2 linked regions of the Callithrix jacchus genome follow. The protein of the gene in region 1 interacts with the protein of each later gene in a pairwise test. Links are inferred from orthologs where the notes say so. Each region holds a gene or a part of one and is shown on either strand. Other genes may lie near its edges.

Region 1 (4,243 bases):
CTAGGCCTCATCCAGAGCCTGTACTATTGAACAGCAGCCCAGCCATGTCTTCCAGAGGCACAATACCAGATGTGTCCTACCTGGGAAGATGTGGGTTCCACATTCCTGTCTCCTTGGAATGCCTGGTGGGTTCTCAGGAGATCCTTTAGAAGTTTTCAGTAGGGGACCTTTGTTAGGTCTCTGTGAACTGGGAATAGAGGGATAGATACAGACTTGCCTGTTTGTCTTGCCCCACCCTTCTAGTATACACCCCCACACAGCACAAACCAGAATGATGGGGAGGGGAAGCCAATAACCCCCCAGCCCCACTGCCTGCACAGACACATTCTACTCCATGCCTGCCTTAAACACCCCATGTCATGATCAGGCCTAGTCTATTCAGATCCCTGGATTCTAGAAAGCAGTGCGGTGTCCCTAGGGCCTATGCAGATTTCCTGGGACAGGACTGGTCTGCCTACAGCCAACTGGATGGTAAGAATCTCCCTGACTCGCAGGTTCGGTGGATTGGGAAGAAAAAAACATTTCAAAAAAATCTCCCTGAGAATTCAGGAAAGGCCTGGCTGAGTCAGGTTCAGTTGCATCTGCAGCCCTGTCCTGTGATGGACAGTGTGTGTCATACTTGGCTGTGAGGGGTCAGCTTTGGTCCTCCAGCAGCTTATTCTCTGCAGTGGATGGATTTCAGAAGCCACAACTCACCGAGGTCTCCTGCAGCTCATATGGCCCAAGTACCTGTAGACCTACCCACATGCTGCCTTGAGTGACATGGTGGGAGGGAGCCCTTGGGGCCTCCTTGCAATACAGGCCAACTTCCTGTTTGTGCCTGTGGGTGGGACTTTATGAGTCTAAAAGAAGCCCAGCCATGCCCCCTGGGAGGTCAAAACCGGCAGGCCTGCTCACCTGGGCAGACACCTACTCCAGGGAGGGGGCTGTGCTGGTTCTGCTTGGGCGGCCCCAAGTGAGGTGTGTGCATGGTGGGGGTAGGTGGGAGCTGCTCTGGTGAAACTCAAGTCTTCTTTGTGTGCTTCCCAGGGGTTTTCCTTGTACTTGGGTATTGGGCCCAGAGTGGACTGGTTGGGCTCCCAACCGAGCAGGGGGGAGAGTGGCGGAGTCAGGCTCTATAGGCAGCTTAGTTAAGGCAGCCAGGTAGCAGAATTCTCGGTCACGTGATGATCGCCCCTTTTCCCCAGGTGGAAAACCAAGTCCGGTAAGCTGTGAAGTCAGAGGCCAGAGAGGCATCCTCCGCCACTGTCTAGCCACTGTTGGGCTGGGCACTGGGTCGGCTGTTGGTGGGGTGCGGGGCAGACCACTCCCCTCCCCGGGTGGGGGGCGCGGCCTGAGCCGCCCTGCCCCGCCCCGCTCTGCTCCACCAGGTCCTGCCAGGCGGGCGCCGGGAGCCGGGAGCCGGGAGCCCGGAGCCCGGAGCCCAGAGTTCGGAGCGAGCTAGGGAGCCGGCGTTGTCGCAGCGAGGAGGCGAGCGCGTTGGAGCAGGAGCGGCGCCGGAGCTGTAGCCGAGGCGCAGCTGGCGCTGGGTGAGTGGTGGGCGGCGGAGGTGCAGGAACTCCCGCCTCCTGCACATCCCCGCTCCAGAGCGAACTTTCCGCTTCTGGAGAAGCTGGGGGTGGGGATGAGGAGTGGGGTCGGGCGCAGGCGAAGAGTCAGAACAGGGAAGCGACACGGAAACGCATGCCAACGGGTCCCCACACACGCGTGCACAGACCCACGCCCGCACTTGGGACATGCGAATACACAAGCACTCGGAAAGGACGCGCCCAGTTGGCTACCCTTGCACTCCCAGGGACAGCGCCAGCCGGCGCGCGCGTACCCCCAGCGGCCAGGACACTCTGCGGTCGCGTATTGGGTGGGGGAAAGGGGCAGCCCCGTGCCCGCAATGGAGGCGGGCCGGGTGGGACGCACCCAGAGGTTCCTGCTTCCTGGCCGCCCGCAGGTGAAGACCAAGACGTAAACAGGCGTGGCGCACGTGATCGCTCCGCAGATCAGTGGCCAGTGCTCCCAACCCCACCACGGGGCGGGGACCCCAACCCCAGTCCCGGGCGCGTTTGCCTGGTCCCAGGCCGGACGGCGTTCCATTCTCCGCCTGGAGCCGGGATAAACCCTCTCCCAGGCACCGGAGCACAGCGCCCCCTGGAGCCGGGGCGGAGCAGGAGGGCCGGGCTGCTGGGCAGGGCCGGGGTAACTCGGGCTCCTGGACGTCCTTCTTCCCAGCACATTCTTGGTGTCTACATCCCGGAAAGTTTCGGAGACAGGCCCTTGATGACAGTGGACAGCTGCCCCCGCCTATTAACCCCAGCCCAGAGAGCAGCTGTCTGAGCGCCTGAGGGTCCCCTTCCTACCCTCACTTCCACTCTTTGTGGGATTCCGAGTCTCCTCCCCCGAGAAAATTCATGAGTGTAAACGCCCCCTCAATACTGGAGTGGGCCTACCCCCCTAGCAAAAGGAGGGCGAGCTCCTCCCCCCAGGGAATGAGGGAGTGGGCAGTAGCTTGATTCCTTTTCCCCGCCCCACCCCCCCACCCCTACACACACACGCTGAGCCCAGCTGCTGCCTGAGATGGGCAGGCTGCCAGAAAGAGGAGGAGGCTCTCTGTGCCCCAGGAGGCAGGGATCAGGGCAAGGCCAGAGGAGGGGGCTTTGCTGGGGAGAGGGGCTCAGTCTGTTCTTGTGAGGCTGAGGGTCTGGGGTGAGTCTGAGGGTGGCTGGGCTGTGTTTCCCTTTCCAGGGAAAAAGAAAGAAAAACAACCCTATCCATAGAGCTAAAAATAGAGCTGAGAGCGGGCCAGGGCTGTGGCCTGGAAGGGGGGGATGCTCCTTCCTGGGGCCCGGACGAGCTCTGGCAGGCCTTGGCCCTGGGGGGGAGGGAGTCCTTAGGGGAGAAAGGCTGTCTTTGCCCAGGGATGCAGGCATCAGCTGACCTGACCGGGTCACCGAGACCCTTAAGGGAAAGGCTGTGCTATAGGATATTTGTGAAGCACGGCGTGTGTGTAAGAAGTTGTCCGTGTGAGTGAATGTCAATAGAGGCTGTCAATGTGTGAAAGATGGCCAGGAGACTAAGTGCATTTGAGACTGTGACTGGGTGCGAAGGACTGCGAATTGTGGAAGCCTCTCCACAACAGGCCTGTGACACCGTGTCTGTGTGTGACATGGACTGGAAGATTATGGAAAGAAGGAACGCGGTCCCACGTGACAGCTGAGACTGCTTGTGGCTGCGTGGTGAGGCTGCCTATGGGAAAGGTCGTGTGGGTGTTAGGGACTGTGTTGTGCGCGAGAAGGTGAAAATGTCTGCGATCCTGAGAAAGTGGAATGTTGTTTGCCGTGAGGCTGGTGTAGGTTTGGGCTGTAGGCTGGAACCGGCTCGCCCAGTGATATTGGGGAGCCAGGACTGCCCCTCTCTGAGAAATGGCCTCTCTTTTTAAAAAGTGATCCCAAGGGGAGGCCGGCCTGGGTTCGCGGGGGAAAGGACACCGTGCCGGGGAGTGGGACAGGGCCAGTGTGGTGGGGGGAGGCTGAGTGTGTTCTTCGAGTCGGCCGCCAGGTGGCGCCGCCTCCGCGAAGCCCAGGTTGCCGCCTGCAACCCGCCGCGGGTGGGGCAGGCGCGGACCGAGCTTTGGCCACCGTCTCACGCTAGGGCGCGGGGCCCCCGGACCGGAGAGTGGGGGGCGGCCGGCCCTCGGCCTCCTGCTTGGGACCCTGAGGCTGAGAGCGTGTCAGGGAATTTTCGCCTGGAGAAGCCGAGGGGGAGGGGCGGCCGCCGCCGCCTCGCCGGGGCTCTTTGTGCTGTAACAATGACCAGCTGCCGCCGGCCCCCGGGCCCGGGCTGGGGCGGAGGGTGACCGCCGCCGCCGAGCCGAGCCAAGTCCCCGGACACGCAGTCACAGGGCGTCGGAAGGAGGGCTCCCGACTGCCGCCGAGCAGCCCCTACGTGCGCCCCGGCGGACTCGCGTGACGCGGGTGCCGGAGCGTGTCCGCGGCCCGGGGCGGGGACGGCCCTCGGACCCTCCCTTGCGCAGCGCCGCCCACTCGCACTGGGCGGGGGCTGGCCTGGGCCGGGGGGCGCCGCGGAGGCGGAGGCGGGGCCGGCCCGGGCCGCTCGGAGTGGCGGCGCGCGGGCCGGGATCGGGGCCGGAGCCGGGCGGCGCGCCTGTGGAGCGCTGGGGGCGGCCTGGGGCTGAGCATGGAGCAGCGCGGCGGAGGTGAGGGGGGGCCGGGGCTGGGAGGCGGCCTGGGGC
Region 2 (4,168 bases), on another chromosome or scaffold:
GCCCTGTGTGACTGCACAGGTTACACATCCATGAAGCTGCTCCTGCAAAGATCTGCAGCTAATTTAAAAATCTGAACAGAAGTTTGCAATCTTCTTTTAAAAAATTGAGAGTGTTTCGTATTAAGCGGGGGAAAGAGGCTTTTAAATATCTAGGTGTATTTCCTTTCCCTGCACACTAAGGTTATCTTTAAAATAAACTGGACCCTTCTAATATCTTTATTCAATGGGGCTATCCCTATGTTTCCAAAAGATTTAGTAAGACAGGCTGGTTTGCCTCTCTGCGAACGGCCCTCAACTATTGCTATACTGCAACACCCAATTGCTCTTCAGTCAAGACCTGGCCTAAATTTGAAGTTCCACAGTGGGAAATGCATGGATTTTGAAGCCAAAATAAGTTCAAATTCCAGTTTCACCAGTTACAGTTTAGTGATTTAAAGCAAATTACTCAGCCTTCTTACAACCTCAGTTTCCTCATCTACAAAATGGAAGTGATAATCCCTAGACCCAGAGTAGCTGGAAGGATTAAGTAAGGTAAAAAGAAAGGATTTAGTACAATAAGTGCACGACCAAGGAGGAACAGGTGTCCATATACACACCGCCTTATCTCTCTGCTTTAGATCAAAGCTGAATGGAGGAAGCGCAGTTCCCTTGACTCGGGGGACCCACCCCCCCACTGGGATCGCTGCTCTCAGTCACTGAACCCTATAAATAGCTTAGCTAAGTCACTGTCTCAGTCACCATTCCTTGGGGTGAGGAATGAGGGAGTCGTTGCAAGTGGTCCTTTCTGGCCGTATCATTCACAGATTTTCCATTCTTTGCGGTTTGGGTCTGAATTTTCAGCATCCTCCCTAAAGATTCACCCTCACCCGGTGCCGGCGCGCACCCCGCTTTCCACCCTCACCTCCTCTCCAGGGCGCTGCCCCCCGCCTGCCCTCACTACTCCAGGCGTTGGCCGCACGGCCCCGCCCCGGAGCTGCTCCCGCCTCCTCCCTCCTCCCGTGGGCGAGCTGAAGCCCCGCTCGCCCCTCTCGCCTGCGGCGGCCGAGTGGCAGCCACCACTGCTAGGAGGTCGCCGGCGAGGTGGCCGCGGGCGCGGCGGGGCGGGGCAGGGCGCGCTGTCCTCCACGCCCGCGGAAGTGCCGGGGAGGTGGGCAGGGCCGGGCGGAGAGGGGCGAGGCTGGAGGAGGGCACGGCGGCGCCTGGGCAAGGATGGGAGTCCCCGGGACCCGGAGCTGAGCAGCCGGGTGCGCGCGGCGGGCAGGGCGCGCAGGGGTACGGCAGCCTTGCTGTTCTCCGGGAGCCCAACACCGTTCCCGCGCGGCCAGGATGATCCCTCCGAGCGGCCCCCGCCAGGACGGCGTGGACGGGCTGCCCCAGGAGGCAGCGAGCGCCGAGCAGCCGCCCTCTCCTGCATCCACCGGCAGCCAGGAATCCAAGGTACCGAAGCGCACTTGCCCCAGGAGAACAGACTCACTCCCCTCTCCTCTCGGTCCAGCACGGGGCGCGGGGGGCTGACGCTTGCTCCTTGGGCCGGGGCTGGACGGCGCCTCCCCTGGGACTGGAACGTCCGGTGGGACCCACTGCCCACGATGCTGGACCGCGTCCCCGTGGACCCAGCCTTCTCGCCCACACATTCACACACGCATTTCGTGGTGGCTCCGGGTCCAGAGATCGATTTCCTGCGGGGTGGCGGCTTGGTTGTTTTGTGCTTTGAACCTGCTTGTGTCCAAAGCACGTGTAGGTAATTGTTGGGTTCTGAAGGCTGAGGGATGGAGACAGCCGAGGGATACTCTTGCAGAAAAGCTCGAGTCCTGGGCCAGAAAAGCAAGTATGTATCCCAAGGGTCTCAGAGTCCTTTTGCTCAACAGGGATCAACCCTACCTTCAGATGCCACTCTCTAAAAGAGAAAAAAGAAAAAGGACAAGAAAAGGGAAATACTGCGTTTGTCTAAAGTTGATGTTCCTCTTGTGGAAGTTAATACTCTAAGAACTTACACTTGCTTTTATGAAAGTTACACTAACACATACACACACAACCAGGCCCACAGCACTTCTCCTGTCACTGTTACACTTCCTCTGAAATTCTCGTGGGTGCCAGGCACATGTTTGAAAATCTTGGAAGAGGATCGAGTAAAATGTGGCTGCTCACAGTGCAATGCCAAATGGCAACTCAGCTGGTGGTGCAAAGCCTAAGATGGAGTTTGTAGTTATGTGGATTCTTTTAAGTGTAGAGCTCCTGGCTCTTTATTCTGATTTCATTGTGAGATCCCCAAGCATTTGGGGAAATGTGAGGCAGTCCCTGTATACCAGCAAAGGAAAGGGGATGCCAGTTGGTAGGATAGGAACAGGTCAGATGGGGCAAGGAAAAGCGCCATCCTGTCTCCCTTCACATGCATCCCTGGAAGCCATTGATACAATCAGGAGGATGAAAATCGCAGCCTGAGTGGCTCTGGGGATTTGGGGTGATACTGGGCACTGTACATTTCTCAGCCCCCTGAAATTAACCATCAATGATGGTAAGCTAAGCCTGAACACTTTGCATCTTATTTACTTTTTTTTTTTTTCTGTTAATTACTGGCTGCCAGACCTGGGGTATGTGTGTCAACTTTTCTGAAACTTAATTGGAAATGAGGGAAAAAGCCTCCACCTTCCAGAATCATTGTGAGGGGTACATGAGATGCCCTAATGTCCCCTTGGTATAGTTTAAGGACTCAGTCATGTTTATCCTTTTCCTTCCTGAGATAAAGAGCTGGAATCCATCTCATCTCAAATGACCCACTCCAAAACAATCTCATAACCCATATACATGACTCCAGTCACAAAGGTTCTGGGTGTCATTGCCTGCCGTTGAACATCAGTCCCCAAAGTGATATAGGTTAGTGGCCATTTTATAGGAAGGCTAGAATTCTGTAAAAGAAGGTAGCTAAACTCAAGAGTGAAACTGGTATTAAACTTTTTGAATTGGCCTGTTGCTCTGCCGTAGGTGCGTCCTGGAAAGGGCTTAGCATTTGGGCAAACAGCGGCATGATTCAAATGTATTGTATGGATTTGCTATTTATAGATGTCCTAATGGAAATTATTTGGCAGAGCAAAAACCACATATGTAATGCCCGTAATTATCCGCCAATTTATCTGGCTTATGGCTTTGTACAAATTAGTTTTTCTCAAAGTGGTCTCTATACCGGATGTGTATTTCTACATTCCTAAGTTTGATGTCATGGCTTCGGTGTGCTTAATTAGTGGACATAAACTCTGGGGGCCCCTGAACACTAGGAAATTGAATGCAATATTGTATGCCTAAATGTGACTTTTTCTTGGCATGGCATTTGTGATATTCCCAAGGGGATCCATGCCCCTTAAAAAAAGCTAAACTGCTCGTAGGGAGGAACATGTGGTAAGGTAAGACAAGGATGACATGAAACCAGAGGACAGGAAGGCTCAATTCATTCCATGCTAGGAAGGCCACGTGTTAAAGCTCACTGGCGTTTACAAGGATCTTCCACCCTGAGCACGAGCGCTTGGTGAGGAAAACGTGAACAAGACAATAATAAGCATTCCACCTTACTCTTCCATGAAGTGGTCTTGTTTGTAAAATATCTTGTGAGACAAACATGGTTCAGGCTTCTTTGGGCATTTAACTCTCTCGGGGAAGACTTTTAAAATTACTTTTTTTAAAGACTTAGGTTTTTCGTCTTATTATAAGAGTAACAAATATTCTTTGTAGATATTTGAACAGTCCAGATATAAATTATAAAAAGAAGAAAAATCAGCTGTTGGTTTATCATCCAGAAGCATCTATTAATAGCATTTTGATCTATATCTTACATCTTTTTAAATCTATTTTTTATTTACATAGTTGAGAGAACAATAGTGAGCATCTACTGAATGTTTACGGTGAGTCAGGTATAACCTTAATCTTCACAATAGAAGATTCTGTTAATATTGCTGTTTTATGGATAGGGAAGTGGAAGCTGAGAAAGGTTAGATCATTTTCATTGTGGAAATTTATCTTATTATGGAGAATTTCAAAATACACAAAAGTAGAGAAAACAGTATAGAGAACTGTCATGGACCTAATCATGTGGTTTCACGATCAATTCATGGACAGTGTGTTTTATGTATTACCACCCCCACCACCACCACCACCCTACATGTACTAGATCATTTTA

The links.
Region 2: the proteins of LZTS2 (region 1) and STAC interact in binary tests that used the Homo sapiens proteins (3 or more experiments, as listed by UniProt). The two-hybrid records come from large-scale screens. The link is inferred for Callithrix jacchus from reciprocal best matches to the Homo sapiens genes LZTS2 and STAC.

Annotation. Positions count from the first base shown.
Region 1 is NC_133513.1:93,952,524-93,956,766, forward strand, and holds the start of LZTS2 (leucine zipper putative tumor suppressor 2), read left to right. Parts: upstream 1-1,368; 5' UTR 1,369-1,529; intron 1,530-2,565; exon of another isoform or gene 2,566-2,697; intron 2,698-2,865; exon of another isoform or gene 2,866-3,227; intron 3,228-4,080; exon of another isoform or gene 4,081-4,207; intron 4,208-4,243. UniProt on the Homo sapiens protein: Negative regulator of katanin-mediated microtubule severing and release from the centrosome. Required for central spindle formation and the completion of cytokinesis.
Region 2 is NC_133518.1:74,357,131-74,361,298, forward strand, and holds the start of STAC (SH3 and cysteine-rich domain-containing protein), read left to right. Parts: upstream 1-1,173; 5' UTR 1,174-1,326; coding exon 1,327-1,437; intron 1,438-4,168. UniProt on the Homo sapiens protein: Promotes expression of the ion channel CACNA1H at the cell membrane, and thereby contributes to the regulation of channel activity.